Linked DNA regions of Drosophila melanogaster. The protein of the gene in region 2 interacts with the protein of the main gene of each other region in a pairwise test. Each region holds a gene or a part of one and is shown on either strand. Other genes may lie near its edges.

Region 1 (7,709 bases), on a different chromosome or scaffold from region 2:
AAGAGCCTATCAACTTACGGCCTTAGCTGTCAGTATTACTGCAAGTCCTTGAGTCTTGGCTATTTTCAAGCCAGATTGACAGTACCACGACCCGCTGGCACTGCTTATGCAATTAGTCGCTCGTCGTGTGCGCTTGCGCTTCGCTTTGAGCAAGGTCAGTTCCAGTGCCAGCTTTCCCTCTCTTGACCACTCTCTTCCCCCCATTTCTCTCTTGCAGAAGCCCAAAGAGTTGGCGCGCAGCGTGACGAAGGGGATCACGGCTCAATTGGATATCATAGGAGGCAAATTGGTGGGCCTTTGAGAAGGCGTGTAATTTAAATAAATACTTTAATTTATTTTGTAACTTAACACGAACATGTTGTTTAGGAATGCATTTCGATATAAATATTTGTATGTATGAATAAAATAATCATACGCATAGTAGTAATGTAATATTTGCTTTAACTATTTGCTCCCTCTTTCTCCACTTCGTCTTCTCTTCTTTTCTTTTCTCTTCTCTTCTCGCTTTCCTCGCGCTTTTCGGGCAGTTGCGGTTTCTGCTATTTCGAATACTACAGATTTCCATAAAGTAACATAAGTATTATATAATTATATATAAATATATATTGTAGTTGATATATTGGTTTAGTTGAAGGGTTACGAGCATAAGCATATCCAGGTCCAAGGATTCCGACTCACACTAGCTGTATATATGTGTCAGGTACTCTTGCAGCTAAGCAGCCAGCCTGATAAGTATGGAACGCACTATACCCTGTTCCAGGTGCGTTTCGGGCCTTGGGCCTTATACTATACTACTAGAGAGCACATCACAATATGGATACACTGCTAACTAAATATGTGATTGTTTCACCGGCAGCAATATGACATGTTCACACTGTGCCCAGTGCGAATTTGTCATTTTGCTGCCAGTTCAATTTTGTTTCGACTTGTCTCCGCCTACAGATTACAAACAAAAAAACAAAAAAAAATACACTTTGAATTAAATTAATTTTTGGCACATTTCGCAGAATAAATTAGAAACTAAGAGAGTTAACAAAAGGAATAGAGATAGCGACAGGGAGTTCGGGAGGCCGACTGCAACCCCCCAATTTAGAAGTCCGCCTACCACCGTCACAGGCGCGTTCAATCTTCCCAACTGCTGGTGCGGGTCTGAGGATCAATCGACGGGGAGTATGACTTGTAGGTGTCCGAGGCCCGCTTGTGCTTCACCGTGCAGAACAGCAGCATCGAGGTGATCAGCCCGAACAGCTGGACAAAGGCGATGCCCAGTCCCACGGCGCCCACCACGTTCAGCTGGCCGGTGAACCAGCTCTGCAGCGAGTGGGCACAGCCCTTGTCCCACCACAGCGACGGATTCTCAGATCTAGAGTTGGCGAAATAATGGTATAGTGGCTAGCTTCTCGAAATGATGTAACAAATGGACAATAGGCAAAGGAGCCGAACATGAACACACCTGCCGCAGTCGGGACGCATCATTCCGTCGCCGGATCCTTCGGTGAGCACCTGGCGCTGGTCGTAGAGGGTCCTGCAGCAGGACTCTGGCACCCAGCGCCTGCCTGGCCACGACTGAATGTCATACCAATCCTCGTAGGAGGAAACGCCGCAACACTCGAACTAACCAAAAGGGATCACGTTTCAATGAGCACGTGGAACTGGGCAACAAGCGAAAGGCACCACTCACCGACTGCTGCACGCTGTCCCAAATGGAGGCCACCGAAGGCGCCACCAGAGATCCCCGATCGCTGCTGTTATAATGCCGCTCGATCCCGAAGCGCAGCTCGTTGGCCAAAGTCCGTCCCAGTCCGCCGCGGAAGAGAAAGGCGATGGAGCCAACCAGGAACTCGCTCATGAACAGCATTACAATCAGCATAAAGTACTGCGGGTAGATATGATATTGAATGGCTTTGCACAGAAAGAAAATGGTCAAAAAAAAGTACATAGATCACAAATTCGACATGCATGTATGCCATGAGCTAAATCCTCTCCGTTGACCCTGATTTACCCCCGATTTACTCACCAATACCAGGAGACAGCGGGATTGCACCCAGGCGCCGCAGCAGCCAAAGAAGCTGACCACAAATCCGGTGCCCCCGATGCCCATGAAGATGGTGTCCGCACTCAGACCTGCGTGCTGGGGCAGCAAAGTGGCGTATCCCGCGTAGCTCAGTCGCAACCAGAGTCCCGCTCCTAAAAACGCACAGCTACATAACTGCAATGGGTCAGGTTGGGAATTGGAAATTGGAAAATAGAAATTAGAAAGGCACTGATTATCCAGCAGAATGCTCGAAAAGTGAGAGGTGGTAGCTGCATACCTAAAGGACTCAAAAAGCTTAATATTTGATATAAATCAACGAGTCAATTATTCCAGACAGTGTCACCTGGACACAGACCTTGATTTATTGCTCTTTGCTGCACGAATAGCTGAAGGATCTATCATTCAGAGGCGAAATCAGATAATTCCCCCGATTGACGGCCAAATGGAGAGCTTTCGATTGCAAACTGTTGCATGTTCACAACGGCCTGACATCTGACATTTTCAGGGACTTCGGGGGAAACCCAGTGGCAAGCAAAAACAAAAGCGGACGGAAGCTGCAGCTGCAGCTCCAAAAAGCTAAGGGTAAACACGCCGCCAAAGTCTACGTCGAGCTGGAAACTGAAACTGTGCTGAAAGCAAAGCCAAAAGCAAACGCAAAAGTCAATGACAGGCGCTCAGACAATGCAACATGCTGTCACAAAGACACTTCCGTCGCAGACGACGGCAAAGTTGTGGCTCTGATTAGCCGCCCTACGTACTGATTTTGATTTTGCCTGCGATTCTGATGCCGCGCATATCCGTTCTGGGGGAAATGGAGACGGCAGTCAGAATATATGTATCTTTCCAGAAATGTTTACTTATAGGCATAGAGGTGTGTATTTCAAGTCAACTTATTAGTAATTAGTAGGATTTTTTACTTAAATAACTTGCCCATAGAATGATGTTGAGCCAGCAGAATGTGCGGCGTATGCAAGTGTAGCCGGCATTGCCCATCGCGGGATCTGAAACGAAAAAAAAAACCATCAGGTAGAGCTCGAAACCTTTAATAGTCCTTTATATTTAGTGTAATTCCATCCTAAAAAGTATATCCTGTGGAAAAACCAGACCTTGCATCCATTAAACATCCATTTTGAAGCAGCAATTGCAATTCTGTTCGTTTATATATCAAATATAGTTTACTGTTATTATTATGTGTATTATTACTATGTTTTTTCATTGGCATTTCCTTTTGTCAGCGCCATGTAACTGGAGTACCCACATGTGTGTATGTGTGTGTGTGTGCCAGCGGGGGCGATTCGTTAGGCAATTGCAGCTGCAACTGCTGCACAAATGCAGTAATCCACAAATGTCCACACATGGGTAGACACTCGCTTATGCAAATATTTTGTATGATTGAATGAAAACAATAACTAAATAAAAAAAAATAACAAAATTAACAACAGCAGCGACCGCAATGACCATGGTCAACGAAGCAGATGAGCAAATAAATGGGTGGGTGTCCTCATCTGTATATTTAAACTATGGATGGCAAAAAGCATTCAGGGCCGTCCATTTGTCAATCAACTTTCATTGATTTTAAAGAAATTAAAATAAAATGTAAGTGCTGAAGATTATGAACACTATTATTCGCCACATTGTATATATGTACTAGTATATAAAAAACCTATGTATTTGGAACATTGCGAATGTGTAGAGAACCAAGAGTTAAATTGCCAAAAACTACCATTCTTCTCGACTTTCATGGGAAAGAAGCAACAGTTTTTGAATTGGTTTCATGCTAATGATCACATGTTTTGTTGCAATCAAGCCCATGGATCTGGGAAAATTCGTGTTGACCAAAAAAAAATAAAAAAGATTGCGTGTGAACCAGCAATGAAAACCAAATACAAGGAGAAAAAATTTTTTATTTTGAAATGCACTGCTAGGCAATAAGGATTTGGAAAATATTGCCCAGGAACAAGTAAAGTTAAAATATATATATACATACATTCTTTAAATTAATTCTTTTATACTTTTTCACTTATGATATTTAATATCTTGAGCTGTCATCGTCCGACCTGCAAGAGCCTTACTAATAAATAGATCTAAACTTGAAGGTCCAGAGGAGCACGTGCCTCCTAATCACGATCCTCCTACAATCTCGCTACCCCTTTCGGATTCAGATCCGGACTCAGATTCACATTCAGATTCACATTCGGTGGGGTTCGGAATGTCCGCTCGAGGGTCGAGCTATCCAGCATATAATTGGAATAACTATCATCCGCGATGAGGATCAGCCCGCCCCCCCTCCCCCCGCGAACATAATAATAATAATGAAATAGTGCAAATAATAAGCGGCACTGGGCGGGGTAATGGGTCTGGCCTGTCCAGGGCTGTCCAGTTTTCAGCTTTTCAGTTTTTCAGCTCGGTTCCACTGCGACTGCGATTACCATTCCCAGTTGCCCGTTCATAGTTCCCAGTTTTCAGTTTCCAGTTCGTCGTCTCCAAGTGCGAACAATTGCACAAGGCACACACAAACAGCAACTGTCGCTCGCTTATTTTCCAATTTAACTCAATAACGCGGACTGGCTTAATGGCATTTGACGCTGAAAATTTGCGATTTACCCACCCACCATACCCACCTACCCTCCGCACATACCCTATATGCCACATACCCTACATGCCCCATACCCTATACACTATACACTATCCACCGTGCTCTGGACATTTATCATAATTCGAGTAGCTGGATGCTGGGATGCTGCGGATGTGGATGTGGATGGGAATGGGGATTTGGATGTGGCGGAGTGATTTATGCCAGGGAAATGCTGCCATCTCAAATTGTTTTCGTTTAGCCGAAAACTTTGCAAATCGTCGCAGTAATGGGTTAAGTCGATTAGCTTTTCATATTTTCCACTAGCCTATTAACTTGCATTTGCTTGCATTCGATGTGTTAGAAAATGATATCCTTCAAACTATCTAAGCAGGATAGAACCCTAGTAAAGTGTATAAATAATTTCGAAGATATTACTTTACAAAACGAAAACATAGTCCTTTAATACAATTTCCAAGCTAGGTGATATTATACCATATCACGTAATATTATAGTTAAAATATATTATCGAGCCCAATGAAAGGAAGACTTCAAGTTCCCACACTATAGTGAGATTGAATGTGATGAAAGATACATATGTGTCATATTTCATAATATCGAAAACAGAGATCACAAAAGATCAGGGTAGCATGTTACGGGGAGATTACTGTAGCAGGCGGTAAAAACCTGTAGGTAAAATTGCAACAACAACAACGACGACTTTAGCAACAAGATCAGTCGCTCTGAAAAAGATTTTCACCATCTGACCGTTGGAGACCCTCCCCCCCACTTTAATGCTGTTGTTGTTGCTCTTTCAAAGTGTCGTCCACGAAAAGTTTTCTCTTTTTTTGTTGTTGTAAGTTACAACAGTGTTGTTGCTGCTGCCTTTCTGGCCGATCGGCCAATCTATGTGTTTATACTTTGCCCCATTGCCGCATTTCTTTTCAGTTGCAAATTACTTCAAGTTGTTGTTCGTTGTTTGCTTTCAATCTGGTTTTTGTGGTTGTTGCTGCTGTCAATAAACTGCAAAAGTTCGTTGTTATTGTCACAGCATCGGGTTTTCTATATGCTATATATGTTATATATGTATGTATGTATTTCAACTGTATCTATACAAACAGGACATTTACATTGGCTTCAAGACGATTTAGCACTGTTTCCAACGGACTTCGATTCGCACTATAAGCCACGGAATTTAACTCGAAAAAAAAAAGAATAGGAAAATAAACAATTCACTGGCGCAGGAATCTCCGATTCGCGTTCCCAAACGTTTCGTTTGGTTCTGCACTTCTGATTTTGATTCTGATTCTGATTCTGATTCGGATACTCGGATCGCTGGCTTGGGATATCAGATTTTCGGTTCGTTTGGCGTGTTCTATGCGCTCGCCGCGGTTGTTCAAAATAAACTGACAATTCTTCACGTTGTCAGTTAAAAATAGCAAAGAAGCAACGCCGCCACGCAGCAGCCGAAGTGGCACGAATGTCTAGCCGAAGTGGCTTCGGTTGCAAGTTGTAATGCACAGCGAGAAAAACTTGGGAAGGTATTCAATTTTGGTTACATCAGCCCTATGTTTCATCTAATTGTTTGATTTATCATAATTTATTATTATTTATAACAATTAGTGCACTTTCTTTAGCAAACACCTACGATTTTTCTACGTGTACCTACCGTTGACAGTTGCACTAAGCTCCTCGCTCTCTGAGAGCAACACACTGAGCGAATCGGGGAGTACGTGCGGCCCCAAAAGAGAACTGAAAAGCAACGCGCGCCGTCTGCATACTTTATGAATGAGATTTATGTTTAGATTTCAGTGTCACGTTTTGATCCACTTTTCGGCCTAATTCATACCAAACAAATAACAACAAAAGCAAAAAGCAAAAAGAGCACAACAAACGGAGAGATTTCAAATAAATAACGACGGGAAGTGGAAGTGGTCAGCACTCATACGCCGTGTGTGCAGCTGTTGCATCCGACATGACGTCACGGATTACGCTGCGGATTACGGATGGCACTCAGCTGTCCAAGTCAATGATAATATGGTAATTATTATAAAGTATGATAATAGTTATCTGCAGATGGAAAAGCATAGGACAACAATTGGTTCAATGAACCTCCGTTAAGTGGGCAGTAAAATAATCAGCCCTTTTTGCAAAGAAAAACAAAAAAACCAAATAAAACACTTTTTTTTTGTGTTTTAACCATAATAACGAAAATAATAATCCATATATATTATGCAAATATATTGGATACCAATTTTTCTCCCTTGCACACATTATTTATGCTTATTTGTGTGTAATATTTGCAAACTTCTGAGGTTAACAGTTCCAAAGCAGTTTCGTTTCAAATTACATAACCAAAATGCAGTCTTCATAATTAACTGTTCCATAATGAAGACAGCGAAAAAGAAAATATAGAAAACAAGACAATCCATTGACTTATCGACACAGACTTGGCGTTGCGTGATATCAAACTTAGCATAAATGAAAGTCGTGAAAGAAACTCCAACGACTCCCGTCCACGCAAAACGCGTTTTTAGGAAATATATGTGATAAAACGATCAAACTGCGAAAGATGTAAAATTGTATGTTCAATCTAAAATTATTTAAACATTTACAATACTTTTTGGTTTGTAAAAAATTATATTTAAAATCTTCAGCCATTCCATTAATGCAATATTCCTATAACTAAGGCACAGTGAAAAAATAATAGCAAATAAAGTCTTTAAGTTGCTATGGGCCATTGTTTAGATTCATGACTTGTGTACATTTTGTTACGCTCTTTTTTGTGTGAAAAACCCACCAGTCTAGAATTACTTCACTATGCACTCAAAAAAAAAAAATAGAAGATGACTACGAATCTAAGTAAATGAGGCAAACATATGTAAATGAGCTGTGCTGCGGGAGATGGAATCAATCAATCGATTCACTTGTCCTTTCGCAGCTTCTGGCTGGACAGCTCGATGGCATCCAGCCAGAGCTTGAGCTCCTCCGGCTTCTCCGGTCGCTGGGCAGTTTCCGGATAGGTCTTCAGTACCTCCAGCACATTGCAGTTGGTGATGTTCTGCTTGGACATGGCCACCGCGCGTACAAATCCGTCCGAAA
Region 2 (7,750 bases):
TTATAAAATCACAATAAATTGATTGAGCTAAAGTGTGTGACTTTTCGAAATCAATTTTGAACATATTTTGCCAATTTAAAAACCACAGAAGCATACGTTATCCCTTTTTTTAAATAGCCCAAAACATGTTTTTCTTTCTTTCTTCACTTTTCCGATTACTTACGCATTTGCGTTGTTGCCAAACTGACTGATGGTATTGAAGAGTTCCCTGTTTGCTTCCCTGTAAGTAGCAACCTGCTCTTTGGTTCCCGACGCGGATTGTGCAGCACCATGGTAAGAAACACCAAAGCTGAAATACAAAACCAATAATGAGTGGCTAAAGTCAATAATCAATAATCCTATAGCAATGTTACCTCGATGTTCCGTGAATCTGCGAGCTACTCTGACTGGAATGAGTGCCAGATGAGGACGATGCCTGGCCGCCACCATTAGCTGCTATAGGATTGGCCTCCTGGCCGGGTCGGAAACCGATCTGGGCCTGGGAGGAGGTTTGTCCGGGTCCGCTCGATTGGGCGTCCGCCAGGCCGCCCTTGTCATTGGCGTGAACCTCGCTCTGGCTCTGTTGGATGATGCCACCGCTCTGCGACGAGGCCTTGGTGCCGCCGTCCTTGGCAACCTGTACCTGGGCCTGCGACTGGGCAGGACCTCCCGATCCCTGAGACTGACTCACGGCTCCATCAGCATTTCCGGTAACCTGTGCACTGGCCGCACGATCAGCATCGGACGTCATTGCACTGGCGCTAAAGGTTCCGCCGGAGCTGTAAGTTCCCGACACCTGAGTCTTGGCCGTGCCTCCATTCTTCTTGCCCTGAGCACTTGCCGACGCTTGTCCGTCGCCAATTGATGACTCGGCTTGGGAGAAGGCATCGTCAGCTCCGCTGGTACCGGCAGCAACTGGGAAACGAGCAATTCAAAACATTGTTTTCCACCGCCTTGATAGCTACTTACCAACTCCACCGGTGCCAACAGCACCAGGTACAGTTTGACTTCCATCTGTATATCGACCTGGTGCCCCAATTTGTCCTGTCTGGGTTCCGTATCCTGGTTGTCCTACTCTGTCTCCGATCTGTCCGGGCTGCCCTCCAATGACTCCAGTTTGGCCGCCACCTCCTGGCTGTGTTCCATAAACTGGCGCTCCACCGATTCCGGGTTGGCTACCGTATCCACCGTGCCCACCAACTGTCTGTCCGCCAATTCCGGGTTGAGATCCGGGTCCGTATCCGGGTTGGCCAGCTGTGGCCTGACCACCTGTTCCAGGTAAGCTTCCGTATCCGGGTTGCCCGGCTCCGGTTTGTCCAGGTTGAGTTCCGTACCCGGGTTGGCCACCGCTAATTCCTGATTGACCTCCAGTTCCTTGCTGTGTTCCATACACAGGTGATCCACCAATTCCAGGTTGACCACCGTATCCGGGCTTTCCAGCGGCGGTCTGTCCGCCTATTCCAGGTTGTCCTCCAAATCCAGGTATGACACCGTATCCGGGTTGTCCAGCTCCAGTCTGTCCGCCAACTCCAGGTTGGCTTCCATATCCGGGCTGTCCGGCTCCAGTCTGTCCGCCAACTCCAGGTTGGTTTCCGTATCCGAGTTGTCCTCCAAAACCTGGTTGGGCACCGTATCCGGGTTGTCCGGCTCCGGTCTGTCCGCCAATTCCAGGTTGGCTTCCATATCCGGGCTGTCCGGCACCAGTCTGTCCGCCAACTCCAGGTTGGTTTCCGTATCCGGGTTGTCCTCCAAAACCTGGTTGGGCACCGTATCCGGGTTGTCCGGCTCCAGTCTGTCCGCCAATTCCAGGTTGGCTTCCATATCCGGGCTGTCCGGCTCCGATCTGTCCGCCAACTCCGGTTTGGCTTCCATATCCGGGCTGTCCGGCTGCAGTCTGTCCGCCAATTCCTGGTTGGGTTCCGTAACCGGGTTGCCTTCCACTAGTTCCTGTTTGCCCTCCAATACCAGGCTGACCTATAAATCCATATCCAGGTTGGCCGGCTCCAGTCTGTCCGCCAATTCCAGGTTGACCACCGAATCCGGGTTGGTTGGTTCCGGTCTGTCCACCAATTCCAGGCTGAGTTTCGTATCCATAATGTCCGCCAGGAACAGCGGTTAGTGCTCCAATTCCTGGCTGAGTGCCATACCCAGGGAGTCCGCTTATTGTAGCCTGTCCTCCGTATCCTGGTTGTCCGCCTCCGGTCTGTCCGCTAATTCCAGGCTGCCCGCCGTATCCTGACTGTCCGGTTCCGGTCTGATCACCAATTCCAGGTTGACTGCCGTATCTGGATGGTCCGCCAATTCCAGGTTGAGCCCAATATCCAGGTTTTGCGGCTTCTGATTGTCCGCCACCGAGTTTCCCTCCAATCGGTCCGCTTATACCCCCAATACCTGGCTGAGTTAAAAATCCAGGCGATCCACCGACTCCAGTTTGACCTCCATATCCAGGTTGTCCGGCTCCAGTCTGTCCACCAATAACAGGTTGGGTACCGTATCCGGGTTGTCCGGCTCCATTCTGAGCTCCAACTCCAGGTTGGCTTCCATAGCTGGGCTGTCCAGCTCCAGTCTGTCCGCCAATTTGGCTTCCGTATCCGGGTTGTCCGCCACCGGTCTGTCCGCCAATACCAGGCTGGCTGCCGTATCCGGGCTGTCCGGCTCCAGTCTGTCCACCAATACCAGGTTGGGTTCCATATCCGGGCTGTCCGGCTCCAGTCTGTCCGCCAACTCCAGGTTGGGCACCGTATCCGGGTTGTCCGGTTCCGGTCTGAGCTCCAACTCCAGGTTGGGTTCCATATCCGGGTTGGCTTCCGTATCCGGGCTGTCCGGCTCCAGTCTGAGTGCCAACTCCAGGTTGGGCACCGTATCCGGGTTGTCCGGTTCCGGTCTGAGCTCCAACTCCAGGTTGGGTTCCATATCCGGGCTGTCCGGCTCCAGTCTGTCCGCCAATACCAGGTTGGCTTCCGTATCCGGGCTGTCCGGCTCCAGTCTGAGTGCCAACTCCAGGTTGGGCACCGTATCCGGGTTGTCCGGTTCCGGTCTGAGCTCCAACTCCAGGTTGGGTTCCATATCCGGGCTGTCCGGCTCCAGTCTGTCCGCCAATACCAGGCTGGCTGCCGTATCCGGGCTGTCCGGCTCCAGTCTGAGCGCCAACTCCAGGTTGGGCACCGTATCCGGGTTGTCCGGCTCCGGTCTGAGCTCCAACCCCAGGTTGGCTTCCATATCCGGGCTGTCCGGCTCCAGTCTGTCCGCCAATACCAGGTTGGCTTCCGTATCCGGGCTGTCCGGCTCCAGTCTGAGCGCCAACACCAGGTTGGGCACCGTATCCGGGTTGTCCGGCTCCGGTCTGAGCTCCAACCCCAGGTTGGCTTCCATATCCGGGCTGTCTGGCTCCAGTTTGTCCGCCAATACCAGGTTGGCTTCCGTATCCGGGCTGTCCGGCTCCAGTCTGTCCGCCAATACCAGGTTGGCTTCCGTATCCGGGCTGTCCGGCTCCAGTCTGAGCGCCAACACCAGGTTGGGCACCGTATCCGGGTTGTCCGGCTCCGGTCTGAGCTCCAACTCCAGGTTGGGTTCCATATCCGGGCTGTCCGGCTCCAGTCTGTCCGCCAATACCAGGCTGGCTGCCGTATCCGGGCTGTCCGGCTCCAGTCTGAGTGCCAACTCCAGGTTGGGCACCGTATCCGGGTTGTCCGGTTCCGGTCTGAGCTCCAACTCCAGGTTGGGTTCCATATCCGGGCTGTCCGGCTCCAGTCTGTCCGCCAATACCAGGCTGGCTGCCGTATCCGGGCTGTCCGGCTCCAGTCTGTCCAAGAATACCTGGTTGGGCACCGTATCCGGGTTGTCCGATTCCGGTCTGAGCTCCAACTCCAGGTTGGGTTACATATCCGGGCTGTCTGGCTCCAGTCTGTCCGCCAATACCAGGTTGGCTTCCGTATCCGGGCTGTCCGGCTCCAGTCTGAGTGCCAACTCCAGGTTGAGCACCGTATCCGGGTTGTCCGGTTCCGGTCTGAGCTCCAACCACAGGTTGGCTTCCATATCCGGGCTGTCCGGCTCCAGTCTGTCCGCCAATACCAGGTTGGCTTCCGTATCCGGGCTGTCCGGCTCCAGTCTGTCCGCCAATACCAGGTTGGCTTCCGTATCCGGGCTGTCCGACTCCAGGTTGAGTGCCAACTCCAGGTTGGTCACCGTATCCGGGTTGTCCGGCACCGGCCTGAGCGCCAACTCCAAGTTGGCTTCCGTATCCGGCTTGTCCAGCTCCGGTTTGTCCGCCAACTTCAGGGAGAGCAACATATATCAAACTGTATACATTTTGATTATATACGACTTACCACCTCCGGGTAAGCTTATAATGGAATCGGGTCTACCGATGCCTCCGGATCCACTAGCATCAAGAATTCTGCCTGAAGAAGGGTAATCCGTTTGGTAGCCAGAACATCCATTGCAGTCCCCTGATGAGAACTGGCTCTGAGCCTGACCCATTCCATGGGTGCCAGCTGAAAGAGGTCAAGAGGTCAATGGACAAAGTGCTAATGAATCTCATCTGACCCGTACTCACACACAGTGGAGCGAGATCCATTTTCGGTAGCCTCTGCCTCAGCCTTTCCATCCTCCTCAGGCTTACCGAAATTTAAGTACTGAGACTGGGTTTGTCCCCTCGAACTGCGGATAAACATGGAAAGGAAGTAAGCCCATCTGGTCCAAAATAGTTGTTAACCAACTACTTACTAGCCTCTGCCGCTTCTCTTTTCCCGCTGCAAGTCGTTCAGACTAGAAACCTCATTTTCCTGAAAGTTAATACATCGATTTAAATTCAATGCTAATGTCAGTCTAATCTTTATTCATTCAAAGGGTCTGTGCAAGTGTGCCCGATTAGATGCTGCTTGTAAGAAACTGACCTTGGTCAAATTATGTCTTATCGCCTACTTTTCGAACCGAGTTCATTTACATTACACTACTCTAGTTCCATTCAACACACACAGAGAAGCAACAATTCTCGGGGAGATTCATTAACAATTCGGAAACTTACGATGGCAGCTCCATTTGCGCTTGCCACGAATAGCACGGCGCCAAGTAGCAGGCCCAAGCGAAAGGGCAACATTTCAATAAATTAAACCCTGAATCCAATTGAAAGGCGTCGACGTCGCGGCAACACAACCAGCAAACTGTAAGATGAAATTGAATTGTATTATCAATACACCATATAGATGCGTGTTATTATTAGTTTATACTCCTTCTCTGTGTTTCTTGTCCGTCACTTTCAGAGGTTATCACTTTTCTTTAAAATGAGCACGCACGCTGTGCTATTAGATGCCAAAAAAAAGGCAATCGATCTTGAGTTATATTTCAGTCTTGCGAGTGATGTAATCGCTAAGGCTGATTAATGTAAGTTTCGAATTTTAGTTCTTGACACAAACGTGTTTGAATTTGTAGTCTGAAATCATACATATGTACATATCCTTTTTGATATCTTTCGCTTTTCACATCTTTATTTTGATTTTTATATGTAAAAAATACAAGAAAGTCACATAAGCACTTTACACTTCGAAAGGATAATTGTGTGATTATCCTGGCGAATATGAATTGTTACAGAATGTACATATTTATATTTGAATATAGAAATATTTAATAAATTTGGGAAGAAAATTTAATCTTCACATAATTGTGTTTAGATGTTGTCAATGATTCGATTAGTACAAGATTCTTAGTTTGCACACATTATAATTTACACACTTATTGTTCTTTTTGACCATTTACTAATGATATAAGGTCCTGTATTTTGGTTGATTTCAATTTCACTGCATATAGAAATTCACATTTAAATTTTATCAAATAAAACTCTACAAGTTGTAATCCGTTTCGTAATGCACAATTAATAGGATGTTTTGTTATCTTATTTCTTCACTAATCCCTTGTATTTGAGAGCTGTTTTTGCTCTATGTCCTTGCTGCGAGGGCACACATCCTAGGCACATACTTTTTCGGCTGCGTGTTCTAGGAATCCAATGGAGATTTTCCGATTTGCTTCCGATCGCGACAACTGCTGGATTGCGAATAACGCTGCCCTGTACGAGCATCAAAACTCTAGAGCTTGAGCAGAACTCAAATTCATTGAAGGCGAGCAATTTCCAATACATTTGCATTTGGCCAGCATGAATATTTATGTAGGATCCACACCAGCGCAGAGTGCTGGTATCTGTGAGGCGGATCAGGGCACTTGGAGCCCGAGCTGGGAGCTCGTCGCCAGTGCTATTCATTCGAGTGTCTATTCCATTACGTATCAGCGCTTTGATCGTGTCAATCGATCACTTGGTCTGGCTTGGCCTGCCGATGGAAGGGGCGGCGCGTTGACGTCCCCCTCGACAAATGAGTTTCTATGGGCATTACAACATCGTAGTCTATGCCAACGGATGGGGGACTCTTTTGACCCATTTTAGGGAAATGTACTGGCATTTATTAGCATATAAAGATACGCAATTGTGTATCTCTTGGATACATTTCAAGTGTGTCCCTGCCCACACTCATTCACTTGACTTGTATGTGCTCTCTTTGCATCTGGCGAAGGCTTTATCGATTGGGCTTTGGATTTCCCAAGCCACTTATTTATTTCTACAAATCAAAAATTGGCGGAAGTAATTTAATCAGATAACCTTTGAGACTAACTATTTGCTTTCGCTTTCTGTTTAGACTACCCATCGTCATATCTATATATAGAGCAGTCTCTACCAGCCCCCATTCAATGTTGAATTCGGCTTTATACCCTTATCTGCTAAGAGCTTCTATGAAACCATGTGTTAAATTGAACTGAAGCATTAAATTTTCAATTTTTGAATACCCATCGTCTGTATGGGGTGTGTTTCAAGGCTAGTAATATTTTTAATTGAAACCTAGATTGATAAGATCTACGAAAAAGGCCTAGGAACTGTGGAAAGCAAATAATCCGGCTACAGTGTACCCATTACTTATTTTACTAGATACAATTGCACTTAAAAATATCTTTAACCTTGTTTTCCAATTTTAATGGGAATAAAGTGCTATGAAATTTTTATTACATCGTAATAAGAATTTATATTGAGACCAATTTTTTGTAACACCTTGAGATGAATTTGAGACTACCTTTTGTTTCTATAACAATAGGGTAGTTCATTACCAAAGTGTCTCAGTCTATTGAAATAAATTTGCATGCATCCAAAAATATCTATTTAGATCATCTAAAAAAAAAACCCCAGTGAAATAAAAATGCGATTGAATGTGTTTTTTTTTTTTTATATACAACAATAGGAATTTAACATTCAGTTTCTGTTTCATTATATTAATAATTTTGCTAACTTTAATTAATCGATTTGTAATTTCCACAGTATAAATAAATTTTTAATAATTCGCAATCTTTTTATTCATTTCTTAGGTAAATATTGTCCAATGAATAATGCCGTTGCACTGCTCCTGAAAAAAAGTGTCCGCATGTTATTTATTAAAATTTTGTCTACTTTAATTGGACTTACTCTTATGTGCAGAATCGCCGGGACTTTTCGCAAACTTGACTAACGGGATTCCAGTAAAGTCCTGAATTACAGCTCATTACAACACCTCTCAGGCCAAAACACTTGACATATTTGGAGCAATCGCTTTGAAAAACGTTAAAATTCATGCCCGCTGCGCAAGAAATCGATTGACTCGCCCGAAGATTTGTGCAATATTTATTGGACCAATCACATGACTTTATCTCCGGGTTCCAATACAGCGGATCTGGACACTTGCGCTCCAATGCCACGCCA

What was found. Proteins that work in one complex are often made in the same cells at the same time.
Region 1: the proteins of prc (region 2) and Tsp5D interact in a two-hybrid assay, tested with the Drosophila melanogaster proteins (one large-scale study listed by BioGRID).

Annotation. Positions count from the first base shown.
Region 1 is NC_004354.4:6,068,840-6,076,548, forward strand, and holds Tsp5D (tetraspanin 5D), read right to left. Parts: upstream 6,019-7,709; 5' UTR 5,738-6,018; intron 4,159-5,737; exon of another isoform or gene 4,023-4,158; intron 3,037-4,022; 5' UTR 3,029-3,036; coding exon 2,966-3,028; intron 2,210-2,965; coding exon 2,018-2,209; intron 1,877-2,017; coding exon 1,682-1,876; intron 1,615-1,681; coding exon 1,454-1,614; intron 1,364-1,453; coding exon 1,123-1,363; coding exon of another isoform or gene 1,111-1,122; 3' UTR 302-1,110; downstream 1-301. Other genes in the region: CG4666 (uncharacterized protein), read right to left, coding at 7,531-7,709.
Region 2 is NT_037436.4:11,960,101-11,967,850, forward strand, and holds the start of prc (pericardin), read right to left. Parts: upstream 6,032-7,750; 5' UTR 5,953-6,031; intron 5,142-5,952; 5' UTR 5,078-5,141; coding exon 5,006-5,077; intron 4,764-5,005; coding exon 4,705-4,763; intron 4,639-4,704; coding exon 4,535-4,638; intron 4,473-4,534; coding exon 4,308-4,472; intron 4,252-4,307; coding exon 949-4,251; intron 895-948; coding exon 354-894; intron 290-353; coding exon 164-289; intron 1-163. Other genes in the region: Muc68E (mucin 68E), read right to left, coding at 7,480-7,750.